Callithrix jacchus: one gene and its partners. The protein of the gene in region 1 interacts with the protein of each later gene in a biochemical or structural test. Links are inferred from orthologs where the notes say so. Each region holds a gene or a part of one and is shown in the gene's direction. Other genes may lie near its edges.

Region 1 (6,950 bases):
TCCCTTGTAAAGAGTCCTTATATAGAAAGGCAATTTTTTCATCAGGGAGTTATCTTAAAGGTAAGACCTAAACCACCCGCTTAAGACTGAAATAAGTGAACAGATGAAAATAAATGTATGGGCTGGCGCAGTGGCTCACGCCTGTAATCTCAGAACTTTGGGAGGCCAAAGCAAGCGGATCATCTGAGGTCAGGAGTTTGAGTCCAGCCTGGGCAACATGGTGAAACCCCATCTCTACTAAAAACACAGAAAATTAGCCGGGCATGGTGGCAGGTGCCTATAAGTCCCAGCTACTCAGGAGGCTGAGGCAGGAGAATTGCTTGAACCCAAGGGGTGGAGGTTGCAGTGAGCCAAGATCATGCCACTGCACTCCAGCCTGGGTAACCAATACTTCATCTCAAAAATAAAAATAAAAAATATAAAAAAAGAAATGGAGTCATAAAAAGCTGCTTCTAGGCCGGACGCCGTGGCTCACGCCTGTAATCCCATCACTTTGGGAGGCTGAGGCAGGCAGATCACGAGGTCAAGAGATTGAGACCATTCTGGTCAATATGGTGAAATCCCATCTCTACTAAAAATACAAAAATTAGCTGGGTGTGGTGGTGTGCGCCTGTAGTCCCAGCTACTCATGAGGCCGAGTCAGGAGAATTGCTTGAACCCAGGAGGCAGAGGTTGCAGTGAGCTGAGATTGTGCCATTGCACTCCAGCCTGGGCAACAAAAGCGAAACTCTTGTCTCAAAAAAAAATTAAAAACTGCTTCTAGGGCCAGGTGCTGTGTCTCATGCCTGTAATCCCAGCACTTTGGGAGGCTGAAGCAGGCAGATCACTTGAGGCCAGGAGTTCGAGACTAGCCTGGCCAACATGGTGAAACCCTATCTCTACTAAAAATAGAAAAATTAGCTGGGCTTCGTGTTGCACTCCTGTAATCCCAGCTACTTGGGTGGCTGAAGCATGAGAATCACTTAAACCCAGGAGGCGGAGGTTGCTGTGAGCCCAGATTACACCACTGCACTCCAGCCTGGGCAACAGAGGAAGACACTGTCTCAAAAAAAAAAAATTTTTTTTTTAAAGCTTACTTTAAATCTAATAAATCCTTTTCATCTTTTAACTACTCTTTGAGGTACTATAATTGTAATTCAGTATTTGTTTTTATGTATTTGCTTTATTGTACCTCTTTAGATATGTAGTCATTTTCTTCCGTTGAAGGATTTTATTTTATTTTATTTAGGAGATACGGGTTTCACCATGTTGGTCAGGCTGATCTTGAACTCCTGACCTCATAATCCACCTGCCTCGGAGCTCCCAGAGTGCTGGGATTACAGGCATGAGCTACCACACCCAGTCCAAAAAAAGATTTCTTTAAAGTAATGATTCTCAAAGTATGGTCTGGGAACTTCTGTGAGTCCCTAAAACCCTTCCAAGGAGTCCTAGAGGTCAAAGCTATTTTTACAATAGTATCTTGACATTATTTATCTTTTTCATTCTGTCCCAAATGGACAGTAGAATTTTTCAAAACTTACATAATACATGATATCAAAACATTAAATGGAGAAGCAGATAGATGTGAGAATCTGGCCGTCTTCTATGAACAGACTTGCAAAAGTGTTAATGCCACTCTTCTCAGTGACTTTTTGTTCTGAAAAATTATATAGTTATTTTTCATTAAAAAATAAATGACCGGGCTAGGCACCAGTGGCTCACACCTGTAATTCCAGCACTTTGGGAGGCTGATGCAGGCTGATCACTTGAGGTCAGGAGTTGGAGACAAGCCAACTTGGCGAAAACCCATCTCTACTAAAAATTCAAAAATTAGCAGGTATGGTGGCATAAACCTATAATCCCAGTTACTCAGGAGACTGAGGCAGGAGAATTGCTTGAACCTAGGAAGCGGAGGTTGCAGTGAGCGGACATTATGCCATTGCACTCCAGCCTGGATGACAGAGCAAGACTCTATCTCAATAAATAAAAATAGACTGACTGACAGGTAGATAGGTAGGTAGGTAGAAAGATAGATAGATATATAGGTAGATAGATAATCAAAAAGCAAGAATTGTCACCATCTGTGTATTTCACAAAGGGGTGTGTGTGTGTGTGTGTGTGCATTTAGTGTACTAGAGTACCTGCCATTTCTTAGTACCTATTGTCATATAAGTATGCATTTATTTTCACAACAATAAGAACTGATGCAATAAGGAAGTATATTGGTTAAGATTTAGTTAGCTTAGGCCGGGCACAGTGGCTCACACCTGTAATCCCAGCACTTTGGGAGGCCGAGGCGGGTGGATCACGAGGTCAAGAGATCGAGATCATCCTGGTCAACATGGTGAAACCCTGTCTCTACTAAAAATACAAAAAATTAGCTGGGCATGATGGCACGTGCCTGTAATCCCAGCTACTCAGGAGGCTGAGGCAGGAGAATTGCCTGAATCCAGGAGGCGGAGATTGCGGTGAGCCGAGATCACGCCATTGCACTCCAGCCTGGGTAACAAGAGTGAAACTCCATCTCAAAAAAAAAAAAAAAGATTTAGTTAGCTTTTATGAAGATGATTTGGGAAATCGAATAAGTAAAAATACTTGCTTGGTCAAAACTTCCAAACATTTTGCTACTTTAAGGTTTTTCTTTGCCTTTTTCAGTCTGCTTTACAAGAACTTGAAGAATTGAAACAAATTGTTCCCAAAGAATCCCTCGTTTACTTCTTAATAGGAAAGGTAAAGACTGGGGCCATGGTCCCAAACTGTGACTTTCATAGCAAATATTGACATTGTATATTTTATAAGAATGAATATACTTACTGTATAGTATCTATTGAGCAAATTCAACTAAAACTCCAAACTGAGTGCTCTGGGAATAACAGATTTAGTTCTTAACACTTAAGAAAATTATATCCTAGCTGGGCATGGTGTCTCATGCCTATAATCCCAGCATTTTGGGAGGCCTAAGTAGGTGGATTGCCTGAGGTCAGGAGTTCAAGACCAGCCTGACCAACATAGTGAAATCCAACTGCTACTAAAAATATAAAAAATTGGCCGGGTGCAGTGGCTCACGCCTGTAATCCCAGCACTTTGGGAGGCCGAGGCAGATGGATCACAAGGTCCAGAGATCAAGACCATCCTGGTCAACATGGTGAAACCCCATCTCTACTAAAAAATACAAAAAATTACCTGGGCATGGTGGCGCGTGCCTGTAATCCCAGCTACTCGGGAGGTTGAGGCAGGAGAATTGCCTGAACCCAGGAGGCAGAGGTTGCGGTGAGCTGAGATCACGCCATTGCACTCCAGCCTGGGTAACAAGAGCGAAACTCTGTCTGAAAAAAAAAAATATATATATATATATGTAATTAGTTGGACATGGTGGCACTCACCTATAATCCCAGTTACTCGGGAGGCTGAGACACGAGAATCACTTGAACCAGGAGGCAGAGATTGCCATGAGCCAAGATTGCACTGCTGCACTCCAGCCTGGGCGAGAGAACAGGATTCTGTCTAAATAAATAAATAAGAAGAACATTAATGGCACTGTGTTGTATTGATTAGGAAAGATGGCTTCTGAGATTCCCAAGGCCAGACTAGTCAGTTTTTTACAGACTGGCCCCCCCAGATGCCAATTAGTTAAGGTGCCTGTAGACAGTTGTTAAGAGTTTATATATATAACTCCATTTAAAATCACCATAAATGAAAGTTAATTAAGCAGTTTATTATTCGTTTAATCCCATTATCATTGTTCCAGTCAGAGTGATATTTACTGGAAACTTATTACCTGATAGAAGCAAGAAATTCTGAAAATAACATCTGATTATATTAAAAGGAAAACAAAAGCTAGTATGAGTTCATCTGTAAGATGAAAGTGTTCTACCCTTAGAATGAGTTTAGAGCACGTACACCAGGAGCCTAATATAAATTATAAATATTTAGAATTTTAGGGGCCAGGCGCAGTGGCTCACACCTGTTGTAATCCCAGCAGTTTGGGAGGCCAAGGTGGGTGGATCACCTGAGGTCAAGGGTTTGAGACCAGCCTGGCCAACATGACAAAACCCTGACTCTACTAAAAATGCAAAAATTAGCTGGGCTTGGTGGCAGGCACCTATAATCCCAGCTACTCAAGAGGCTGAGGCAGGAGAATCACTTGAACCTGGAAGGTGGAGGTTTCAGTGAGCCGAGATTGTGCCTACTGCATTCCAGCCTGGGCAACAGAGTCCATCTCAAAAAAAATAAATTAAATAAATAAATATTTAGAACTTTATAGTTGAAGCTCACAACTTAATGAAAAATGTAGTGCTGCTGTTTATTTTTAGGTTTACAAGAAGTTAGGTCAAACGCACCTCGCCCTGATGAATTTCTCTTGGGCTATGGATTTAGATCCTAAAGGAGCCAATAACCAGATTAAAGAGGCAATTGATAAGCGCTATCTTCCAGATGATGAGGAGCCAATAACCCAAGAAGAGCAGATCAGTAAGTATCATACATGTGATTTTGAATATTTAGAAAGTTACCTTTTTGCATAAGGATTTGTAGGATACTCTTATTTTTCTAACCATGGTGTTTTCATTATACCAAATTTAGGGAAATTGAACAGGGTGATGTAATAACGAAATGCATATAGAGTCAGGTAATTAGTCTGTTCTGGATCCAGTTTGCTGTATGACTTTGACAAATTCATTGCTAATTTTTACCTGGGCCCTCAATTTGTGTTTGAATATGTAACCAGTACTGTTTTATCTGCTTCATAAGAATGTAGTTTTTTAAGGAAGAGGATAGAGAAATTTCTGATAAGATAAATTCTGATGAGATGCCTTTGTTCCAGAAAACTTGGTGAAAGGCTTTAATTAAAATTATAAGCCGGCCGGGCAGTGGCTCACGCCTGTAATCCTAATACTTTGGGAGGCCGAGGTGGGTGGATCACCTGAGGTCAGGAGTTCAAGACCAGCCTGGCCATCATGGTGAAACCCCATCTTAAAAAAAAAAAAAAAAATTCTAAGCCATGGGGCCAGGCACAGTGGCTCACACCTGTAATTCCAACACTTTGGGAGGCCAAGGTGGGTGGATCGCCTGAGGTTAGGAGATCCAGACCAGCTGGCCAATGTGGTGAAACCCTGCCTCTAGTAAAAATATATAAATTAGCTGGACGTGATGGCAGGAGCCTATAATCCCAGCTACTTAGGAGGCTGAGGCAGGAGAATCACTTGAACCCAGGAGGTGAAGGCTGCAATGAGCCGAAATCACACCGTTGCACTCCAGCCTGGGTGACAAGAGCAAAACTCTGTCTCAAAAAAAAAAATTATCAGCCAGGCAACATTTTGGCTTGTGTATGTAATCCCAGCTACTCAGGAGACAGAGGTGGGAGGGTTGCTTGAGCCTAGGATTTCATAACTACCCTGGGCAGATAGTGAGAACCTGTCTCTAAACAAATTTTAAAAATTAGCTGGGTATGGTAGTATACATCTCTAGTCCCAGCTACTTGAGAGGCTGAGGCAGGAGGATCATACCACTTGAGTCCAGGAGTTTGAGGCTGCAGTGAGATGTGATTGTGCCACTGCACTCCAACCTAGCTAGGTGACGGAGCAAGACAGATATATGGGGTGGTGAGGGGAGGAGATTCCCTATTTGAAACCGAAGTTTATAGTCTATGTTTCTATGGACTAGCATGGAGTATCCTTAAAGAGGACTCCGCGATTGGAGGTTGGGGGAAATGTCAATTTTTTTTTTTAGTATCTCAGAGAACTAACTAGTTGTAATTCCTAGGGCAGGAATAAGGAACTCATTAGGGAGAGGCAGTTTGGGTAGTTAAAACCTTAAAGGTAAAAATGCAATAAACTAGTATCAGACCTATTATAAAATTAGGGAACTTGAATTCTGTTTTACTATAGGATATGAGGATTTTTAGGGGCCTTTAGTTAGAGTTTTATCTCTCTGAATATAATACAGTTTTTCTTACTTGTTTTCATGAACCAAGAAGATATATTTGTCAGAAACCTTACTGTAGACTTTGGTTTTATTTTTAAAGTGGGAACAGATGAATCCCAGGAGAGCAGCATGACAGATGCGGATGACACACAACTTCATGCAGCTGAAAGTGATGAATTTTAACTTCTGGAAATCAGACTTTTACAACTGGATATGTGACTAGTGCTGACATGTTTCTTGTCCCTCCATATATACTGAGTCTTTACTCTTGAGCCGACTCTGAGTCATGATCCATCACTTATACCATGAGTGTGCCACTTTCATTGGACCCTGACTGTATACAGAATGAAAGGCAGTGCAATATATAGCTGCTAACAAGACTGGCTCTTTTACCAGTATGAATGACAATTTACAGGGGGTAGAGTGGGGAACTTTTGTTTTTCTTTAATCTCCCTTCGTTTGAAAGCTATCATGGAAGGAAGAGTTATGTTTTATCTTGAAGGAACCATTAGATATGGAAAATAGTGACGGACCAGAATTTCTTGGTTGCTTTTTCAAAAATTTGTTTTTATTTGGTCCTGTTCCTGATAAACAGAGTAACTGACCTTCATTTATAGGTTCTTCAAGAATGGTGTTTGCAAGTGCCAGATGGAACAATAAAAGACATTGCCTATAACAGTAACTTGATTGCCAAGGAATGTAAATTACCTTAAACTTGCAGTGTCTCCTATAAACAAATGTAATGGGCATATTGGGACTCGTATGTAGGAATCAAATATCCCTCCATACAGTGTACACCTATTCTTGGCAAGAATGCTTTAATGTCTGACTGAGGATTTTATTCATCTTGCTTCAAAGTGTTGATCATTGTTGTCTTGGTATTGCAAACTTTAAAATTGGTTCTTACCATATTGCCTCTTCTCTTTGAGCTCTGTGGGATCACCTTTAACATTCAGAGATGATAGAGTGGTTTCCCACTGAGTAGCCAAAACAAGGCCCTTAACAACCACTTAAGTTCACCATATCAATCAGAGTAAGAACACTAAAGT
Region 2 (7,551 bases), on another chromosome or scaffold:
AAGAAAAAGAAAAGGTTGGAAACACTGTGTTAATATTTCTTATCTACAGCTACTGTGGATCATTTCCAGGAATGATCCCTGTCTCCACTGCCTACCAACACACATGAGGGGGGCTACAGCAAGCTTGTCTAACCCGTAGCCTGCAGCCCAGAACGGCTTTGAATGCAGCTCATCACAAATTAGTAAACTTTCTTAAAACATTTTGAAATTTTTGTGTGTGTGTGTGTTTTTTTTTTTTTTAGCTCATCAGCTGTCATTAATGTTAGGGTATTTTATGTGTGGCCCAAGACAGTTCTTCTAATGTGGGAAGCCAAAAGATTGGACACCCCTGGTCTATAGCAGCATATAACTCTGCTGTTTCCTGCCCACACCTGGAACTCCACACCTGCGCTGTTTCCTTTGCTGTAAGGCTTAGGAAATTCATATTCTGTGAAGACTTCATGTGCAGGTGGTTATACTCTGTCCTTTGTAGTACAGTGTTTATGCCTCTGGGAACAGCCATTTTCACAAGTTGTGTGGGCATTTGTATTCAGGTAAGTTCCAGGAAAATGGACATTCAATTTCCATAAGAATGTAAAGTGCATAGATACTGGACACCCACCAGCTGATCCGTTATAACTGCCCCAAAACAACACCTGAAAATGCATTTTGAAAAACAAAGGCAAGTGCGTTTTCACCTTAGAAATGTTGATTCTGGAAGAGTTGGGGGGACATGCTAAGTTGTTTGTGGCAAAGGCAAGGGTTGCAAAGCCCCTGAGAGGAAGTCAAGGATTAAGAACAGTGCCTGGCACAAATTAGTTACTTGACACTGAATGAATTAATCTCCCTCCATCATCTACTTCCCAGGGGCTAGATCCAGTCAGAGGTCAAGAAGAGGGGGCTTGTTAGAAGTTAAAGGTCCTGCAGTGTAGGGCTGAGGGCCCCACAGGGTCGTGGTGTGTCCCTTATGCTGTGCTGAGGTGCAGGATCCAACAAACAAAGAGACAGGACACAGAAGTACAAGGAAAATGGAGCTGGGCTCAGGGGGGCCCTAATGTCCAGAAGTGTCAGTATTTATTGTGTATAGGTTAGGAGGCAGGGCAGTGAGTGAAGTCATCTTCAAAGATAGTGATAGGATTGTGAGCAATAAAACAAGGGGTCCATCCTCATTAGGTCACCTAGGCTATGAGGTGGACAGTGTGCAGCAAGATGTCCACCCCCATTAGATCACTGAGGCATGGAGGTGGGCTGTGCGCAGTGAAGAGGGTGCAGTGTGCACTACCTCTACCTACGGGCAAGCTACTTCTAAGATTTGTGGGAGGATGCTTTAAGTCACACAGCAGTGACAGAGCTGTCAGGGTTACCGCCACCTGTTGGCAGCTTCCAATGAGTTCTATAGGAAGACGCTTTTTGGGCAGCACAGTAACAAGAGCTAATAAAGTTCACAGTCACCAAGGTACAATTATCCGTAGGGGTTTTGAGCCCTTGAATGGATGCTAGAGGGATTGCCGGTCTGAGGGCAGCCTTCCACAAGAAGACGCGAGGTCCTACAACTCCTTTATCAGGAGGAGTGGCTCTTGCCCCAAGCCTGCCATACAGTGGGTATCTTAATGATACTGAACACTGCCCCCTGGGCCATGGATTCTTGTCCTGGTATAACTGTTTTTCCCTTAAATCATGCTCGGCACTGTCTGCTCCAGACATTCCTCTGACTATAAGCTGCTTATTCCTTAATTCATGCTCTGTACCGTGTCTACTCCAGGCATTCCTCCAATTATGAACTAAGATATAGTTATATATATATATATAAATGAGTGGTGAGATATTCTTTAGGCACTCATTCTATGAACAAATATATGATTATATAGAGAGAATTATATAAAGAAATAACTGAGTAGTAACACTATAAACTGAGATATTCTTCAGATCTTAATTGTGCCAGGATTTTGCTTAGTTCTCCTTCCTTGGTGCCTATGTGGGGGGTTATCCACACTGAGGCCTCTTTCTCCATTGAACAAGTGAAAGGTAGTGAAAAGTAGATGGCTTTCTACCATAGGTCTGTGGGAAGTAGAAAAGTTCCCTTTTAAAGTTTCCTTGCTTATTAAAGAGTAAGTGTGCTAATAACTCTTTGTTAAGCCCTATCCTATGTAGTTGTTAGACATGCCATGCTTATAGGCAGGTAGTATATTCTATGTTCTTGTATTTCAACCAAGATATCTGTGCTGAACCAGGCATATCCCAGCTCTCCATTGCTTTTACCTATTTAGAAAAGTTTTAAGTTGTTACCCAATCGGGTTTTAATTTAGATTGTGAGGTCTGGCTCCAGCTAATGAAGATCAGACACAGCAGTAAGGATGACCCCAAATGCATAAGGGATAAATTTGTGTGTTTTCCTTTGTTCATTGTATTCTTGTGGCATGAGCTTCCTGCAGACCAGGAAGTAAAAATTGCATTGCTGAAAAATCCTTTGTCTCAGTGCTAAGTTTTCTTTGCAGCACCGAACATCTATTTCCAACAGATTTTAAGAACCCTAGAATGACACTGTCACATTCTCTCAGGGAGGTCATAGCTGTGGGAACTGTGAACATGCTGACTCATTTAAATGTGTCCTACATAAATCAACATCAGATGAGTTCTGATTTACAAGACTGCCAGGCAGGCCTGTGAGCCTTCTGGCAAAACCCGTCCCATGCATTTGTGTAGCCCCAGTTCTTCCACATAGTAAATGCCCAAGAAGCTACAGAAGAAATCGTGTGTGAGCCCACAGTCCTCATTCCTTATGATGGGGCTGCAATTACCAATAAGTTGTGAGCGTTAAATGGGATGAGGAGTCACAGTATTATTTGCTTGTTAGGGAGGTTTGAGGGCAGGCCCCTCTTCCCTCTTCAAATTGGAATCACCCAAAGAGTTTTAGTAAATACTGGGCCCATCCAGAGTTAATTCTCTTTTAATTGGTTTGGGGTGCTGCTTGGACAGGTGAACTTTTAAAATTCTATACTGAGCCACCAGGACTGACATGAGAACTATTTGTTTGGAGTCTGTCAGAGGAGGCTCCAGCTGATCAGAACCTTAAAGTTCATATTCTTTTTCATTTCCCCATTGTCGCTGAAGCCTTCCCCCTACACCCCTACCGTCCCTTCGAACACAGCAGCGAATTTTTGGTAAAACTGGAAAGTTATGCAAGCGTGCCTACACGCGTGCACACATGCGTTACCAAAAAATCCGCGTGCAGCTTTCCACGTCCCAGCGCCCAGCGCTCCCACCTGCAGCTGGGTCCACTGCTCTGCTTCTCCCTCTCTGCTCCACTCGGGGCGCCGTGCCCCACCCACGTGCCCCACCCTCCCTCACGTCCCGCCCCTCGCCATTCCCTTCCCCGCCCACGTGCCCCACCCTCCCCCTCGCTCCGCCCCTCGCTGCTCCGTGTCCCTCCCAGGGGCACCATTCTACCCCCACCTCGCTCCTCCCCTCGCTGCTCCCTTGCCCCGCCCACGCGCCTTGTCTCGGTCCGCCCGGTCTGGATCTCAGCCTCGCCAGGCCCTTTGCCCGGCCCGCCCCGCCTTCTCCTCTCGCGAGGCACTCCCGGGGCCGGAAGTGCTTGGAGCGCGCGACAGCGGCAGGGCGGGGCGGTCTGGAGGCTGCGGCGCGCCGCCGGCAGAGGGAGGCGAGAGGCCGCTGGGGCCGTGTTGGTCGCCGGTGGGGACTCTTGCAGGTACCGCCCTGGTCGGGGCTTCTCGCGGAGGGCCAGGAGCTCCTGCCGGCCTCTGACTGGGGTGTCGTTGCAGGGCCGTCCCCATGTTGCGTTTTCCGACCTGTTTCCCGTCCTTCCGGGTGGTGGGAGAGAAGCAGCTCCCGCAGGAGATTATTTTCCTGGTCTGGTCTCCCAAGCGGGATCTCATTGCTTTGGCCAACACAGCGGGCGAGGTAAGTGAGCCGGTGGAACCCGCCTGGGCTGGGTCTGCCCGCTGGGGGCCCAAAAACACCGAGCCTGTTCATTCGGGCCACAGGCGGCCGGAGCCTCAGTTTCCCCTTCTGCAGACGCGGCGGGCCACCTGCTACCCCTTCCCTGCCTCCCAGGACGGCAGTAAACTTTAAGTAATATATGCGAAAGGTGGTGTCTTTGCCATTTTCAGTACTTTTATGGCTAACGTAACAGTTTTCACACAGCTTAACACCGTCAGGCAATTCTGCATCCCCAAGTCTTCTTCACTCATCGCTTTATTAGTTAAATGAACTTTTTAAAAAGCCCACGATGTGCCACCCATTAGCTAGACATAGTGGTAAATTCAGGGCCTGCCCTAAGTTTACTTACAGTTTTAATAGCAGAAGGAAGTAATTCTCGAACTTTAGCTGCAAGACTGTATGCATGTAGCTGACCCAGAATATATATTTAAGAATCTGTAGTCTCTTGTCCACGTTTTATACTACGGGTTGGATGCTAACTTCCACTAAAAACCTTTAAATTGGACAAGGAAGAGATGCATCATTGGATTCCAGACAGAACGTGCATGGGTTTTGTCAGCATTTCTAGTTCACATTAAACTTCATCGAGTTTGTTGTACCAACACCTGTTGTACCCAACTTTCTGCTGAGAATTATTACTTGCCAGCCATTTTGTAAGGAAACCTTCACCTGTGCATCTTTCGGCCTCTGGCTTGAGCATTATCTGGCCAGGTGAGAGTTGTGTAGAGTTAAGTTTGGAAACTAAGTGGTAAGGAAATCTTAGCACCCTGTGGACTACAGCATCATGTTATCTACCATGACCCAGTAGCCAGGGTATTGATGTCTAATTTTTCAGGGCCCTCCATGAAATCTAGTCTCCCTCCTCTGCCGGGATGCTTTGAAACTCTGTCGTGGCTCTAGAGAACAACAGGTGGTACAGCCACAGGAGCAGGAGGAAAGGTAGAAAGGAGGTACATCTGTGCGATCAGAAGGGTAGGCATGATAGTGGGCACTGTTACATCCATTTCTCAGTGAAGGAAGAGGCAAGGGAATTTTCTGTGGGTGAAGATGGAGAAGAAAATATTGCAAGCTTGAGGAGAAAGAAGAGGTCTGAAAAAGCTAACAAGGCAGGTGGACTTGGGAAACCTAAATAGGATTCAGTCAGTGTTAAGAGCACCACAAGATCAGTGTTCTTATTTGAGAGACACTGGTTGAATGAGGTTGTGTCTCCGTTCTGTTTGGCTGTGTGGGTGCAGGTACAGTTGGGTTTAACCAGGATTGTTGTTTAGCAAGAGAAAGATGAAAGAGTTGAAGTTATGTGCAAGGGTAGTGATTTTGTTGATGAACTTTGGGTTCTAACGTGGTTAAGGAGGTAAGTGAGGGCAGGTGTAGGGAGAGGAACAGTGACTAGGGGGTAGAATCAATAGACTGTATATTCTGGTGAGGTCAAAGAATTGGAGTTGAGTGTTGCAGAGATGAGCTGAAAGAGGGGTGGTGGATGGAAGGTGGGAAGGAAATTTGAAATGGAGATTTTGGTGGCCCTGCAGTTGTTGGTAATGACCAGGCTAGGGGTGTGACCCTGGGAGTGGCTAAGTGCAGTAGAAGATGTGATCACTGGAGGTGAGGTAGTTGACAGCTGAAAAGCCAGGACATATAGCTCTTGAAATCACCAAAAATGAGGATGAGTGTGCTGTTAGAAAGCATGAGCGAGCCAGGTGTGCAAATCTTCAAGGAATGAGGGGAATGGCCTAGGGGTCTGTAGAGGACTGCAATCAAGGGGAGAGTGGGTGGTATGGTCTGACTGCATGTGATTCAAAGTTAGGAGGTTTTCAAGAAGAGAAGAAATGGCATTGAGCATCAAGGAAGACACCTGCTTCATCTCCTAGCCCAAGAGGAGCAGTACAGGGTCCGTGGGATACAAAATGGTCACCACCTAGGAAGGCTGCAGGGAAGCCATGTCCTCTGGTGAGAGGCACATTTCCGATAAAAGTATGAAGATTTTAATTTCATGATGCCATCTGACCATGAGCTGCAGAAAGCACAGAGGAAGGGTTTCAGAAGTAAGGAATGGCAGGAATGGTTTCAGAAAAGAGAGGGTCAAGTTGGAGAGATGATGTTACCATGAGTGAAGGGTGCTGTGAGGTAAGGCAGGGCATGGTGGTAAAGCTGAGTGTGGAGTCGATGGAGATCGAGAGGGGTCTTCTAGGAGCACGTGCAGTTGTGAGGCCTTTTCTTCCTTACTGTCAATGGTTGTATAGAAGCTGCAACAGGATCAGTCTTAGAGCTCTTGGGCAACATTTTGACCTTCCAAGGTGGGAATTTACTGTTGTGGAAATGGAGATTTAGAATGGTTAAGTGATTTGTCTAAGATCCATGGCTAGTGTGTGACACAACTGAAATCAGATGCCACGTGGTCTAATTCCAAGCTTAGTATTATTTGAGTATATTACAGCTAGTTACCTTTTTAGTGATGTTTGTGTTCTTTTATTTCTTTTTTGGTTGTCATCTTGGACAGCCTTCCTTCTAAAAGGTAAGTCTCCCGTTGACATAAAAGATGGGAAGATGTATTAGGTACTGGGTGAAATTAGACCTTGTTTCACCCATTTATTTTAAAATACCTTGTGTTCTTGCAGACACTGTTGTCTTTTTCTGTTTTTCTGATAGCTAACTATACTTGAGAGATAGTAATTTTAAAAAAGGTTTTAGTAGGGATCGAGGTGTATTTTATTTTTGGAAATTGATTTTTTTTTTTATTTCCTGCCGTTATATCTGCTTTGTCTTAGGTGTTACTTCATCGACTTGCAAGTTTTCATCGAGTTTGGAGTTTTCCACCAAATGAAAATACAGGAAAGGAAGTGACCTGTCTGGCATGGAGACCAGATGGCAAACGTAATGATAATATTACAAAAATATGTTTTTATTTTCACAAAAAGTATTCTGTAAAGAAAGTCCATTTTCAGGAAGAATTTATTGTTCTTAGTATACATTTTAATTATAAATACCAGTTAGGGGCCTTTTTTTTTTAAAAACATGCCTTAAAATATTTTTATAGAACTCAGATTAATTCTGCTATCTTGTTTCTTGGCAAAGATAACTCTGAGGTGAAATCTGATGGAATGTACAAAATATTTTGGTTTTGTTCTTTCCGCTGTCATCTTGGCCTGTGTTTGGCCCAGGCAGCACCTGCCACTCTCCAGTCAGGCAGTTCAAGGCCATCATGGCCTTTCTCTTTCACAATGGATTTTAGCACGAAATGTGTGGCTCATATTCCCTTGGTGCATATATGTTTGCCTCCCCAGGGGGACTATGAGCTTTGACTCCATACCTTCCATTTCTATGTGATCTTTCTTCTGGTCCCATCCTATGTTATAGGCTTTTATGGCTCTGGTGACAGAATCGTCCTCTTCCATGTGATATTTTTACAATGACCATCCTTATTGGAACTGTTGGACACATATAATCAAAGTGAAGAAAAATGCTGTAAATCCTACAGCTTAAAGTTCATCTGTGTCGTGGGTATTTTAAGAAAAAAGTGACTTGTTTTTGTAAAATATGTGTTCTTTGCTTAATTTTTCTGTAGATAAAGTACTTAAACATTTTATTGACGCTTTAAGAAAAATGAATTGTTTTTGT
Region 3 (7,663 bases), on another chromosome or scaffold:
AACAGCTTAAGCCTCACCAGGGGACTATGAAATGAATGGGGAAGTTGGTGACGTATCCGCTATATATAAAAAAAAAAAGTTAAAATTGGTACTCATTAGTAGCCAGGCTGTGTAACATGCTGGGGGTTTGGTGAACAGTGTCTTTCTTCAAATTTACGTCAGAGTGCGAAAGACACCAAAACAACTATTCAGATAATTAGCAGTTGTAAAACGTTGCTGTGAAAGGAATGCCGGGTGTTGTGAGAACATAAGGCATGTTATCATTAGAAAAACATAAGACGATTTCCATTTTGGAGAAACAGTATCTATGCTATCCCATCCCTCCTTTAAAAGTATACATGGGAAATAAAATACTGGAATATGAACTAATTTTGGTGGTAGAATTTCTTGTTATTTTTAAAATTTGTGCTATCTATTCTAGTTGTTCTCTGCCTCTCCCCTCCATAACGTGTGTCCTTTTTGAATATAAAAGTTAAAATAGCTGCAATCCCTGCCTCAATAAAATAACTCAACATAATAGAATCTATTTTTTTGTACTAAGAATTTGCAGGCCAGGCGCGGTGGCTCACGCCTGTAATCCCAGCACTTTGGGAGGCCGAGGTGGGCGGATCATGAGATCAGGAGATCCAGACCATCGTGGCCAGCAGGGTGAAACTCCATATCTACTAAACATACAAAAATTAGCTGTATGTGGTGGTGTGCGCCTGTAATCCCAGCTACTGGGAGGCCGAGGCAGGAGAATCACTTGAACCTGGGAGGCAGAGATTGCACTCCAGCTCAGCACAGAGCAAGATTTTGCTTCAAAAAAAAAACAAATGTTAATTTTGCATTTACAGAGCAGTAGATGAAGAAATAGAGTCAGAGTAGCATGCTGGAGCTTTGGTGAACATAGTGTCTTTCCTCATATTTACATCAGAGCGTGAAAGACACCGAAACAACTATTCAGATAATTTAGGAGTTGTAAAAAGTTGCTATGAAAGGAATACCAGGTGCTGTGAGAACATAAGGCAGTAGAGTCAATGAATCACTCAGGTTTTGCTTTTTTCCACTTAAAAACATTCCTGAAATTTGCTTAGGAGTGTTAAGGCCTAATTAGCCAAAACCATCAGGAGAGCACATCTTGAAGAGGAATCAGAATGCTCAGGACAAGAGAGTTCAATCTTAGTCTAAGACTTGAGGTCCCTCTGGAGGGTTCTAAGGAAGGTCTAGGAAAGCGGGAATTGGTTCTGGATGGGTTGCTGTTTGTAAAGCAGGATTAGGAGAAACTGATTAGGGACTAAGTGCTGTTATGAGCGAGGGTGGGTTAGCAAATGAGTATCTCCAGTAATAGAAATAGCAAAGCTGGTCTGGGGGCATCATTACTAAGAAAATAGCCGTTAGTCAAAGAGAGGGTGGTTATAGTTTACAGCTGTTGCATGACCTTGGGAGAAACAATGGTTTCTGCTGTGAAAATAGAAGACACCTTAAGGAGATAAACCTTGCACCCCAAAACCTTTATAGAGAATCTCCACTTGGAAGCTATAGGTGTTGTACAGATTTAGTCTCAAAAACTTAACGCTTTGAGTGCTGATAATATAATATGATGATGCAAAATTTAGGAGCTACAGGAGGAAATAAGGGATGGGGATAAAGAAGACAGTGAAGAGACAATAAAGGTATGCATATTTTTCTGTCTTTCCTCTTTTCTTCACTTAGGTTAGGCTCTTTTCATCTTGATACCTAGTATAATGTCCAGCATTTAATAGGTATTGAATAAATATTTGTGAATGAAGGAATCATTCAATCAATTTTGGTCCTGAAATGCCAGGGAAGAAGAGGTGATGAACTGGCATATATTGAGAACCATGTCTATGTCAGGTATAGTGTTAAACCTTTTGTGAAAGAGTAATATGGAATCAACTCCTCTCTCCCAGCTGATCTGCAGGTTAAAATGTATATATGGTGACCTGTGGGAAGCAGAGTTTGAATGACACAGGTCAGCTTTGATTTTTTGAATTTGTACCTTTATCTTGTAGTTGTTCAATATATTCCAATTTACTATAGAAACAGGAAAAGGTCATCAACTTTTGCAAGCAAAATTTATTTTCATATCTGGGAAACTGGAATTCCTTTTTTATACCTTTATTATCTTTCTGATGTTCTCTTGCTCCCTGGCCAAGCCCTTCCAGGCAGCTTTGGAATATATTCTTGAGATGTTAGAGGTTTAAAATAAATCACTATTAAATGATAGGATTTTAAGGGAAGACTAAATTATGTATTCATTAGAATCATCATTTTGTTCCTAAGACAGATTTGTGATGGTATAATAGAAACAGCATCTTAGCCTGAAGTATTGAGGATAGTCCTAAGATTAGGGAATGATCAGTTTGTTCTTATTCATAAGCATAACAGAATGACTCAAACGCTGCTGTTTGATCTCTCTGTACTTACATTTCTTCTTAATTTTAAATTCTTCTCTGCTAGTATTCTTTAGACCCAACACTGGTTATTCCCCCATCTCCAAAAGTATTTCTATTTATTTTCCATCCTTTCTACAGTGCCATTTAAATAAAAATATCTTAAAGCAACAAAACATTGTTATTGAGCCAGTACCTCAGCCCATGAAGCTTAATAATATGGAGAGCAAAACAAAGCCACCCAAGTTTTTTCAAATAGTACACGATCCTAGTTTGCCCCGCCCCCACCGAAAACGTGCCACGAAGTTTGCAGAAAAAAGCTTTCGGGGAGGAGCCCTGGCTGCTTAGGTCTCTCCATTGGTTCTGCCTGGTGACCACGCCCCCATCCCCGCCTCCTGGGCGGAAGAGCCAATTGGGCCGCGAGTTGTGGTTTAAACCGGGAGTGCGCGGCGTCCGTTCCCTGTGATGTCAGAGGAAGGTGGCTGTTGAGAGCGTTGTGAGTGAACGGGAGGTTCGCGGGTTGGTAGGGCGAACCGGTTCGGGCGGCGAAGGAGGTGGGCTGGGGCTGGGGCTGGGGCTGGAGCTGGGGCTGGGGCTTGGGCACTGCTCGGGGCGCAGCTGGCTCCGAGCCCCTATGAGCGCGGTCTCTGACTGAGAACTGGACTCGCGGCAATTCTCTGAGTGCCAGCTCCAAACAGCCTGCTTCCTCAGGACCTTAGAACCTCTGACTCTGGCTGGAAGATTTAAGAGCTGGATGAAGTACTTGTTGGCTGAAGCCCGTCATTGTATTGCCCCTCTGTTTAGCTCTCGTTTTTGTGTGAACATCCCTGGGATAGAAAGTCTGGACTGTTGCTGTACCTTAGCTTCTCGCACCTTCCCCAATATCTAATATGTATTTCTCATTTTTAGAATAATCCAGAATGGCTACTTTGATCTATGTTGATAAGGAAAATGGAGAAACAGGCACCCGTGTGGCTGCTAAGGATGGGCTGAAGCTGGGGTCTGGACCTTGTAAGTATACAGGGCTGCAGTCAGATACACTCATATTGTGGACGTGGCCTGGAGCTGGACGAGACAATTTAGTGTACTTTGTGGGCAATCAGTCAAGTTTGTTATCGGTACTTTTTCATTTTCAATATCTTAATGAGATGATTTAAGAGTACTGAATCTCCGCTATTAGGTGTATTATAGTCATGCCACTACCAAGAATGGGGCTTGGGTTTGGGGGTGAGAGTTAAGTTTATATACACAGTATTCAAGTTGCACAGGTATTTTGCTGCTGGAGTATTCTTACGGTAAGACTTTTTCTTCAGCAGTCAAAGCCTTAAAGGGGAGATCTCAAGTTTCAACACCACGTTTTGGCAAAACGTATGATGCTCCACCAGCCTTACCTAAAGCTACTAGAAAGGCTTTGGGAACTGTCAACAGAGCTACAGAAAAGTCAGTGAAGACCAGTGGACTCCTCAATCAAAAACAACCAAGCTTTTCTGCCAAAAAGGTGAGTGTTGGCTATAAAGACACTGTTTAAACACTTAAGCACTTTTGACTCTTAAAATGACCCTTGGCGTCATCCTACCTAGCTTTTTTCCCTCTGAGTAGAAGGGAAGTAGAGGTTAGCAAACAGTAGTGGAGGAGACTCATTGTCCTTGTGGCTTCTCGGTACTTTGACGTAGGAAATCTCACGTGCATCTAATGCATATTTTTGCCTCACCTGTTTTTAACTAGTGTCTTGAAACAGATTGGTTGTTATCTACTTACAGATACATATTGAGAGAAGAGGGTAGTTTAGGAGGTTCTGTTGCTGCTATAATAGCACAGGTGCTGCCATTCTCCTAGCCTTCCAGAGCAAGCAGCAGCTTGTTAGATGACAGTTTGCTAGCATGTTGATTTTTGTGAGTGTGGGTCACAAGCTACAGGCCTGTGTATCCCAGACCCAGAGGACTTTGCTGTGAAAGATGAAGTTAGCATGTGGATTGACACTTTATTTGAAACACTTTTTCTTTTTTTAAATTATATATATTTTAAAGAGACGGTTTCACCATATTGATCAGGCTGGTCTCCATCTCCTGACCTCAGGTGATCCACCCGCCTTGGCCTCCCAAAGTGCTGGGATTATAGGCGTGAGCCACCGCGCCCAGCCTGAAACACTTTTTCTTTCCAGCACAAGTGACACAGAAAAAAGTTTTTTTTTTTTTTTTTTTTAAAAAATTGCATTAGGAAACAACCAGTGAATTACATGTAGTGCAACTTAGGAGGTATTCCTTAAAAGTGAATTAAAAATATTAAATACAGGAATTGCAAAGATACGGGAAAAGCAATAAGAACAGTACCGAAGTGTAAGAACCCCACAGGGAGTTCTAGGCATGCATATGTGAGGTGAGATAAATCAGGAACCTGCAGGCTTCCACTGTGGCACGCTCCTGTAGTAGATTGTAGTAGACCTGTCAGCTCCTTGTCCATGGTGTTTTTATAAAGTCTTGACAGTGTCTTGCTGCCTCTTACTCAGTGTGTTTATTTGAGGAACACAAACTTGTTTTTAATATTAACCATGCAAATAATTAAGGTAACACGGAAAAAATCATACTCCCATAAGCCAAAAATGGTTTTGATGATTAGCTACTGACCTGGGTGATTCATGCCCATTTGCTCTTCTGTTAGGTTGAATAATTGTGTTGATTAGCTCTGAATTAACTCTGCATTCTTGATAACTTATGCTGACAGGGGCTGATACTTAAATTTCAGATTTAAATTTTAAGTCATGCTACTCGAATTACATTTAAATCCTATTGAAGTATATTTAGGTGTGAATAGGAAAACTAAGGATTATCTTCTTAGAAGGCAGCATGAAATTGACAAATTTAAAAACTAAATAGCTGATAATACTTCCTCTCACTAACTCATTTTCTTTGGTTGCTCTAGATGACTGGGAAGACTGTTAAAGCAAAAAGCTCTGTTCCTGCCTCAGATGATGCCTATCCAGAAATAGAAAAATTTTTTCCCTTCAATCCTCTAGGTAGTATCTTTTGCAATTGCGGAAACTTGCTTTTGGCCTTTAGTTTCTTAGTATTCAGATCAGCTGTAACTTGATAGGAATATAATGTATGACCAAAAACTATAATGAGACTGTCTGAATCTGGGTTGCTTTGGACAAGTGTACCTGTTGATGGAATTACTTGCAAGGTATTGTCTTAGGTCAGGAGGGGAATAGGAGCAAAGATGTAGAAGACATTGTTTCTCTCTGTAAAAGCTTATCACCCAGAGGAAGTAAGATCTATTCATGAACATTGAGTGATTTACTGTGTACAGTCTTTCTCACAAGGTTTTTAGAAAGCGAGCTTTATGTCAAGTTGAGCAGCGCCTGAGAGTACTTTGGTAGGATTATTTCTTTGGTTAGAAAATTCTACATAAAACAGTGAAGACATGTTTTTCAGATTTCAGTTTTGCTTTTTTTTTTGTTAACTTCCTGTTTGTTTTTTTCTTTGATTAAAGAGCTCTTTGTAGATAAAATTAGCTTCCCTTATGTATAATGCAGACTTCTTTCCTCTGGAGTTTTTTGCCTGTTTATAGTTTCCTTTACAATTCAGTGGTTTTAAGTTAAGTAGTCACATATCATTCACTTCCTTTTTGACTTCTGGGTTTAACCAGGCTTGAAAAAGAGCAGACTATTTTTTTTTTTTTTTTTGAGATGGGAGTCTTGCTCTGTTGCCCAGCCTGGTGTGCAGTAGCACAATCTCGGCTCACTGCAACCTCCACCTCCTGGTACAAGCAATTCTCTGCCTCAACTTCCCTAGTAGCTGGGATTACAGGCACCCGCCACCACGCCTGGCTAATTTTTATATTTTTAGTAAAGATGGGGCTTCACCCCTCCCCACCACCAGAGTGCTGGGATTACAGGCATGGGCCACTGTGCCAGCCCAGAGCAAACTTAATTCTTGAGTACTTAGGCTTTAGAGAACTTTCACACCTAAGGACAAAGATGAGGAGAGCTATGATTTTCTAATCTTTTGAGAAAACACTTAATCTCCTTGAAAAGAAAATTCAGTATTAAATTATACTTTTGTTACTGTACAAAACAATTGCTTGTTTTAAATATTTGCTAAGATACAGTGACTCATGCCTGTTATCCCAGCACTTTGGGAGGCCAGGGGGCAGGGGTGGGGGTGGGGGTTGTCACTTGAGGTCAGGAGTTTGAGACCAGCCTGGCCAACATGGTGAAACCTCCTCTCTACTAAAAATACAAAAATTAGCTAGGTGCGGTCGCAGGTGCCTGTAATCCCAGCTACTTGGGAGCTGAGGCAGGAGAATTGCTTGAACCTGGGAGGTGGAGGTTGCAGTGAGCCAAGATCATGCCACTACACTCCAGCCTGGGTGACAGAGCAAGACTCCATCTCGGAAAAAAAAAGTTGCTAAGAAGTAAGGTACTTGGATTTTAAGAAGGAATGTTACCTAACACAGTGGTTCTCAATTTATTTTTGGTTTGACACTCTTAGAAATTATTAAAGACCACTTTTGCTTATGTGATCTGTTCTTTTCTGTATTAGAAATTAAAACTGAGAAACTTAAGATATTTATTTGCTAAATCACATTACATTAATATACATTTTTTAATATAAAATGTTTTTTGTTTTGGAAAAGTTTTGAGAAGAATGGCATGGTTTATATTTTTGAAAATTTGCTTTATTTGTCTTAATACAAGACAACTGGCTTCTTGTCAAATTCTGTATACAATCTTACATCTGTTTTGGTTGAAATATACAAAGAAAACCTGGCCTCACACAGATATGTTTTTAAGAGTCTTTTCAGGTAAATGTGGATAGTTTTCTTTGCCACTACACTAAAACTCACAAGTGGCTGTTTCTGAATATGTAATTGCAATGGGGAATCCAAAACCCTATCAATGAGCATTTTGTATTTTGAAATTAAGTTTGTATTTTGACAGTAAAATCCATTAGTCTATTTTGCACTTGGAATGTATCTCTTATTCTCACATCTATCTTGCATTGATCATTCAGAAATATTGATTCACTGAGATATGTAGATACCCCACGTTGAAGTGCTTTATTATACAATATTAAAAGCATTAATATCACAACTGATCTCATCAGAAAAGTCTAAGGCACCTGTCAAGCTAATTACTGCAGATAAGTTTTCTGAGATTCCTTTTTTGGCCTGACGTAGTGGCTCACACCTGTAATGCCAGCACTTTGGGAGGCAAGGTGGGCAGATCACCTGAGGTTAGGAGTTCAAGACCAGCCTGGCCAACGTGG
Region 4 (7,151 bases), on another chromosome or scaffold:
AGACCAGCCTGTCACCCCTGAGCCCACATCTCAGGCTACTAGGGGAAGAAAAAATAGGCCCTCTGTCAAGACCCCTGAAACAGTTGTCCCCATAGCCTCTGAGCTCCAGGCTTCTGCCTCCACAGACCAGCCTGTCACCCCTGAGCCCACATCTCGGACCACTAGGGGCAGGACAAACAGGTCCTCTGTCAAGACCCCTGAATCAGTCGTACCCACAGCCCCTGAGCTCCAGGTTTCTGCCTCCACAGTTCAACCTGTAACCCCTGAGCCTACATCTCAGACCACTAGGGGCAGGACAAATAGGTCCTCTGTCAAGACCCCTGAATCAGTTGTCCCTATAGCCCCTGAGCTCCAGCCTTCGACCTCCAGAAACCAGCTTGTCACCCCTGAGCCCACATCTAGGGCCACTAGGGGCAGGACAGATGGGTCTTCTGTCAGGACCCCTGAACCAGTTGTCCCCACAGCCCCTGAGCCCCTTCCTACAACCTCCATAGACCAGCCTGTCACACCTAAGCCCACATCTAGAGCCACTAGAGGAAGAGTAAATAGGTCCTCTGTCAAGACTCCCAAACCAGTTGAACCAGCAGCCTCTAATCTTGAGCCTCTTATCCCCACAGACCTGCCTGTCACCCCTGAGGCCATAGCTCAGGGTAGTCAGAGCAAAACACTGAGGTCTTCTATAGTAAGTGCTGTGTCCGTTCCTACCACCCTTGAATTCCAGTCCCCTGTTACCACAGATCAGCCTATTTCCCCTGAGCCTATTCCTCAAGCTAGTTGCAGCAAGAGGCAGAGAGTCATTGGGAATCCTGGCTCCCTCAAAACTCCCATTGACCATAAGCCTTGCTCTGCACCCCTGGAAACTAAATCCCAGGCCTCAAGGAACCAAAGATGGGGAGCAGTTAGAGAAGCTGAATCCCTTACAGCCATTCCTGAGCCTGCCTCTTTCCAGCTTCTTGAGACACCAACTCATGCCTCCCAGATCCAAAAGGTGGAAGCAGTAGGTAGATCTAGGTTTACCTCAGAGCCCCAGCCTAAGGTCTCTCAAAGCCGCAAGAGGGCTTTTGCTACCACGGATTCACCACCACTTCAAAAACAGCCCCGAAGAGAAGTCTCCCAGAAGACAGTGTTTCTCAAGGAAGAGTTAGAAGATACTACAGAGAAGCCAGGGAAAGAAGAGGTGAGGAGAAGGCTGGGACCACAAAGCTGGGAAAAAGGGCTTCAGGGCTCTGAAACTCCCACTAAGATTTTTCTCTATCTCAGGATGTCATGACTCCAAAACCAGGCAAGAAAAAGAGAGACCAGGCAGAGGAGGAGCCCAATAGCATACAGAGCCGCAGCCTCCGACGGACCAAATTTACCCGGGAATCAACAGCCCCCAAAGTAAGAGACAAGGGCATGAGACTTTGTGGGAGACAGAGATGAGGGGAGGATACAAGGAGACCTCGGGGACTGTAGAGATGCTGATGGCATAGGTTGCTGTGACCACCTCAGGCCAACCCTTCCACAGGTGCTCTTCACAGGAGTGGTGGATGCCCAGGGAGAGCGGGCCGTGCTGGCACTGGGGGGAAGTCTGGCTGATTCAGCGGCAGAGGCTTCCCACCTGGTCACTGATCGAATCCGCCGGACAGTCAAGTTCCTGTGTGCCCTGGGGCGGGGAATCCCCATTCTCTCCCTGGACTGGCTGCATCAGGTGAGAGGCCAAGAGATGATGACAGACCAATATAGTGACAAGACTGCTCATGTAGCACCCTAGAAAATGGTAGGGAGGAAGAGGAGTTACAGGAAGACAGAGACATTAGTGAGGCAGGAGCCTGAATTTATTTAAAAGATATTTTGTGAGCTCTCTATAAATGCTAGGCAGCAGAGCTGGGTGAGGGGCTGGGCTGAGTTTTGATGCTGACTGCTGCCATCCTTAGTCCCGCAAGGCTGGTTGCTTCTTACCCCCGGATGAATATGTGGTGACTGATCCTGAGCAAGAGAAGAACTTTGGCTTTAGCCTTCAAGATGCTCTGAGCCGGGCTCGGGAGCGAAGGCTGCTGGAGGTGAGAGGCTATCTTTTGATTGGTGCTTCAACCCTCCCTCCAGTGCTTCCCAACATACATCTACTGCCTCCACCATTTCTTTCTCTTAGGGCTATGAGATCCATGTGACCCCTGGAGTCCAGCCACCACCACCTCAGATGGGAGAGATCATCAGCTGCTGTGGAGGCACTGTCCTACCCAGCATGCCTCGGTCCTATAAGGTATAGTTAGGATGCTCTGGGTCTGGGTGAGGTGGCAGTGGCAGTTAAAGAGGTGGCTGGAATGGCAACGGTTGGGGGGGGAAATGGAGGTACAGAAAGGAATATAGAGTAGAGAGAGGGTGGGGGAAAAACCTATGGTATAGAAAGGGATAGGAATGAGGAGAGAGATCTGCTGATACCCCTAACAATCATCAATCAGCAGCTTAGTTTAGATTACATTACATTTGCTCCATCTATCTCTTTTTTCCTTTGATTTTCTTTGCCGAAGTATTTTCTTTTTTTTATTCTTTCTTTTTTTCCTTTTTTTTGCTGAAGTATTTTAAAGCAAACTGCCAATATTATATTATTTCTTCCTACATACTTAAGTATACATATTTAAGAAATGTGTACATTTTATTTCATAATCACAGTGACATTATTGATCCAAAACAAAATTAACAATAGTTTATTGATTATTTGCTCACACTCCATTAATAAAATGTCTCCCGGCCAGGCGCGGTGGCTCACGCCTGTAATCCCAGCACTTTGGGAGGCCGAGGCCGGTGGATCACCAGGTCAAGAGATCGAGACCATCCTGGTCAACATGGTGAAACGCCGTCTCTACTAAAAATACAAAAAATTAGCTGGGCATGGTGGCGCGTGCCTGTAATCCCAGCTACTCAGGAGGCTGAGGCAGGAGAATTGCCTGAACCTAGGAGGCGGAGGTTTCGGTGAGCCGAGATTGCGCCATTGCACTCCAGCCTGGGTAACAAAAGTGAAATTCCATCTCAAAAAAAAAATAATAATAAAATAAAATAAATAAAATGTCTCCTGTTGTCTGAAAAATGTCTCTATACAGTTGTTCAAATCAGGATTCGAATAAGGTCCACATACTGCCACATCTATTACCCTCTGAATTCTCTTTACTCTAGAGCATTCCTTAACTCACCCAGCCTTTATTATACCATCAATTTCCTGCAGAAACTGGGTCACTTTTCCTTTAGAATGTTCCTCAGTATGGATTTTTGAGTTTGCCTCCTTGTTGTATCTTGTTCCTCTGTGTTCCATATTCCTGGAAATTGTAGATAATTGTAAAAGCTTGAATAAATTGATTTCATCTTTCTAGCAAGAGTATTTCTTTCTTTTTTTTTTTTTTTTTTTGAGACTGAGTCTCGCTTTGTTGCCAGGCTGGAGTACAGTGGTGCTATCTCTGCTCACTGCAACCTTCCCCTCCTGGATTCAAGCGATTCTCCTGCCTCAGCCCCCAGAGTAGCTGTGACTACAAGCATGCGCCACCACACCCAGCTAATTTTTGTATTTTTAGTAGAGACGGGGTTTCGCCATGTTGGCCAGGATGGTCTCCATCTCTTGACCTCATGATCCACTCACCTCGACCTCCCAAAGTGCTGGGATTACAGGCATGAGCCACCATGCCCAACCTCTAGCAAGAATATTTTATAGACAGTTTGCAGTATGCTTCACGTGGCTTCATATTAGGAGGTACTATTTTAGTGATACTAAGACTGGTTAGTGGGTCCAGAACCCATTTTTAGGATTCTTTTTCACCCCTAATTTTGTTTTTGCTCTGTCTTCCCCAGCCTCAGAGAGTTGTGATCACATGCTCCCAGGACTTCCCTCGATGCTCTGTTCCACGACGGGTTGGGCTGCCCCTCCTCTCACCTGAGTTCCTGCTGACTGGAGTGCTGAAGCAGGAAGCCAAGCCAGAGGCCTTTGTCCTTTCCCCTTTGGAGATGTCATCCACCTGAGACCTCCACTACCCTTTTACCTCCATTAAATAAAATATTAGAAGATATTTGGAAGAAAGAACTTAGGACGTTAGAAAGGATTGGGGTATATTGATATGACTTGTCCTGGAACATAGGGTGGGACCAGAAATATTTATGAATAAATGAAAAGATAAGGCAATTGGGACCACAGAGTTTTTGTTTTTTTTTTTAATGGCCATTTTATTTTATCTCTACTTGTATGTTTTTATTTGTATAGATTTAGGGGCTACAAGAGCAGATTTCTTGCATGCATTTATTAAATGGCCATTTTAAAATGAGCTTGTTTCATGCTCAGATGTCTTAAGTGGCAGCTATCTTTAGCCAGACTGTTATTGCTTGTTGGTACTCACGGTGTCCTACCTCCTATTTGGAAACCATCTCTATTGTTTTCTTACTGGGATTCTTACTTTGGGGTCAGGAACTTGAAGGGATGCTTAGAGTGAGTAGATATGAAAGTCCAGTTATAGAGTGCTACTCAAACATTTTTCTCTCTCTCAGTCTCTGGGAGGATCTTTAGCTTTGACTTTGGGCAAGCCTCTGTACTTTTCTGGCCTGCTTTTCCAGAACTTATAAAATTAGACCTTAGGCTTGACCTCTGTGATAAATAAATATTCACTCTGTGCCTTATGTTGTAGTGCAGTTTTTAAAAATGTCTAGGTCTCAAGACAAAGTCAGGGACTTATATTTAATTCATCATTATCTTCTATTTAGGGCAAATTATATAGCATTTCTTAAATTTTTTTTTCTTGAGACAGGGACTTAACTCTGTCACTCAGGCTGGAGTGCAGTGGTGCTGTCTCAGCTCAGTGCAACATCCACCTCCTGGGTTCAAGCAATACTCCCACCTCAGCCTTCCAAGTAGCTTGGACTACAGGCACCCACCACCATGCGCAGCTAATTTTTAATATTTTCTCTTTTTTTTTGTATTGTTTGGTAGAGACGGGATTTCACCAGATTGGCCAGGCTGGTCTCGAACTCCTGACCTCAAATGATCCACCCACCTCAGCCTTCCAAAGTGCTGGGATTACAGTAGAGCCAACATGCCCAGCCAAATTGGGATGTGGAGAAATTAGAATCCTTACACATTGCTGGTAGGAATGTAAAATGGTTTGGCCTCTATGGTAAACGATCTGATGGTTCGTCAAAAAGTTAAACATCTGGCCAGGCACAGTGGCTTACACGTGTAATCCCAGCACTTTGGGAGGCCAAGGTGGGCGGATCACTTGAACTCAGGAGTTCAAGACCAGCCTGGGCAACATGGCAAAACCTTCTCTACCAAAAATACAAAAATTGGCCTGGCATGGTGGCACATGTCTGTGGTCGCAGCTACTTGGGAGGCTGAGAGGAAAATCGTTTGAGCCCAGGAGGTCAAGACTGCAGTGAGCTGAGATTGAGCCACTGCACTTCAGCCTGGGCAGGAGAGTGAGACCTTGTCTCAATAAAAAAAAAAATCCTGGTTGTGGTGACTCATGCCTGTAATCCCAGAACTGTGAGAGGCCAAGATGGACAGATCACCTGAGGTCAGGAGTCCGAGACCAGCCTGGCCAATGTGGTGAAACCCATCTCTACTAAAACTACAAAAATTAGCTGGGTGTAGTGGCATGTGCCTGCAATCCCAGCTATTTGGGTGGCTGAGGCAGGAAAATCTCCGGAACCTGGAAGGTGGAGCTTGCAATGAGCCAAGATTTCGCCACTGCACTCCAGCCTGGGTGACAGAGCAAGACTCAGTCTCAAAAAAAAAAAAAAAAAAGCCTCTTTTCTGGCTGGAACCATTTAGGGTGTTGTAGAGAAGAAAAAGAAGGTTCCTACTAGGCCAGAATTTAAAATGCAAAGGAATTTCGCAGAGCCAAAGATCAATGGCCTGAGAAAGAAATTTGCCCAAAAGATGCTTCAAAAAGCAAGATCGCTTATCTATGAAAAAGCAAAGCACTATCACAAGGAATATAGGCAAATGGACAGAACTGAAATTCACGTGGCAAGGATGGCTAGAAAAGCTGGCAACTTCTATGTACCTGCAAAACCCAAAGTGATGTTTGTCATCAGGATCAGAGGTATCGATGCTGAGCCCAAAGGTCTGAAAGCTGTTGTAGCTTCTTTGCCTTTGTCAAATCTTCAGTGGAACCTTTGTGAAGCTTAACAAGGCTTCAGTTAACATGCTGAGGATTGCAGAACGATATATTGCATGGAGGTACCCAAATCTGAAGTCAGTAAATGAACTAATCTACCAGTGTGGTTATGGCAAAATCAGTAAGAAGCAAATTGCTTTGACAGATAACACCTTGATTGCTCAATCTCTTGGTAAATATGGCATCACCTGCATGGAAGATCTGATTCATGCGATCTATACTGTAGGAAAATGCTTCAAAGAAGCAAATAACTTCTTGTGATCCTTCAGATTATCCTTTCCACAAGGTGGAATGAAGAAAAAGACCACCCATTTTGTAGAAAGTGGAGATGCTGGCAACAGGGAGGACCAGATCAACAGGCTTATTAGAATAATGAACTAAGTGGTCTACCATGATTGTTTTTCTAATTAGTCATTTAAATAATACCTGCTCTTAGCCAAGCATGGTGGCTCATGCCTGTAATCCCAGCACTGGGAGGCTGAGGTGGGTGGATCACCTGAGGTCAGGAGTTCGAAACCAACTTGACCAACATGGAGAAACCCTGTCTCTACTAAAAATATTTAAAAAATTAGCCGGGCCTGGTGGTGCATGCTTGCAATCCCAGCTACTTGGAAGACTGAGGCAGAATAATTGCTTGAACCTGGGATGCAGAGGTTGCAGTGAACCGAGATCAAGCCATTGCACTCCAGCCTGGACAACAAGAGCGAAACTCCATCTCAAAAAAAATAAATAAATAAAACAGTACCTGCTCTCTACTTGGAGGGAAAAAAAAGTTAAACATGAAATTACCAAATTATCCAGCAATTCTGCTCTAGGTGAATACCCAAAAGAATTTAAAACAGGTGTCCAGGCTGGGTGTGATGCCTCATGCCTGTAATCCTAGCACTTTGGGAGGCTGAGACAGGAGGATTGCATGATCCCAGGAGTTCATGGGCAACCAGCCTGGGCAACATGGCAAAACCCCATCTTTACAAAAAATACAAAAATGGGTCAGGCATGGTGGCTCATCCCTGTAAT

Evidence for each region.
Region 2: the proteins of CDC27 (region 1) and ANAPC4 form a complex in vitro, tested with the Homo sapiens proteins (2 studies listed by BioGRID). The link is inferred for Callithrix jacchus from reciprocal best matches to the Homo sapiens genes CDC27 and ANAPC4.
Region 3: the proteins of CDC27 (region 1) and PTTG1 form a complex in vitro, tested with the Homo sapiens proteins (3 studies listed by BioGRID). The link is inferred for Callithrix jacchus from reciprocal best matches to the Homo sapiens genes CDC27 and PTTG1.
Region 4: the proteins of CDC27 (region 1) and MDC1 form a complex in vitro, tested with the Homo sapiens proteins (2 studies listed by BioGRID). The link is inferred for Callithrix jacchus from reciprocal best matches to the Homo sapiens genes CDC27 and MDC1.

Annotation. Positions count from the first base shown.
Region 1 is NC_133506.1:86,997,883-87,004,832, reverse strand, and holds part of CDC27 (cell division cycle protein 27 homolog), read left to right. Parts: intron 1-2,634; coding exon 2,635-2,709; intron 2,710-4,292; coding exon 4,293-4,449; intron 4,450-6,001; coding exon 6,002-6,084; 3' UTR 6,085-6,950. UniProt on the Homo sapiens protein: Component of the anaphase promoting complex/cyclosome (APC/C), a cell cycle-regulated E3 ubiquitin ligase that controls progression through mitosis and the G1 phase of the cell cycle.
Region 2 is NC_133504.1:168,461,763-168,469,313, reverse strand, and holds the start of ANAPC4 (anaphase-promoting complex subunit 4), read left to right. Parts: upstream 1-3,576; 5' UTR 3,577-3,688; intron 3,689-3,761; 5' UTR 3,762-3,771; coding exon 3,772-3,900; intron 3,901-6,701; coding exon 6,702-6,807; intron 6,808-7,551. UniProt on the Homo sapiens protein: Component of the anaphase promoting complex/cyclosome (APC/C), a cell cycle-regulated E3 ubiquitin ligase that controls progression through mitosis and the G1 phase of the cell cycle.
Region 3 is NC_133503.1:23,231,738-23,239,400, forward strand, and holds the start of PTTG1 (securin), read left to right. Parts: upstream 1-2,858; 5' UTR 2,859-3,155; intron 3,156-3,305; 5' UTR 3,306-3,316; coding exon 3,317-3,407; intron 3,408-3,709; coding exon 3,710-3,894; intron 3,895-5,315; coding exon 5,316-5,409; intron 5,410-7,663. UniProt on the Homo sapiens protein: Regulatory protein, which plays a central role in chromosome stability, in the p53/TP53 pathway, and DNA repair. Probably acts by blocking the action of key proteins.
Region 4 is NC_133505.1:35,493,676-35,500,826, reverse strand, and holds the end of MDC1 (mediator of DNA damage checkpoint protein 1), read left to right. Parts: coding exon 1-1,177; intron 1,178-1,260; coding exon 1,261-1,380; intron 1,381-1,507; coding exon 1,508-1,690; intron 1,691-1,916; coding exon 1,917-2,042; intron 2,043-2,131; coding exon 2,132-2,242; intron 2,243-3,819; coding exon 3,820-3,987; 3' UTR 3,988-4,635; downstream 4,636-7,151. UniProt on the Homo sapiens protein: Histone reader protein required for checkpoint-mediated cell cycle arrest in response to DNA damage within both the S phase and G2/M phases of the cell cycle.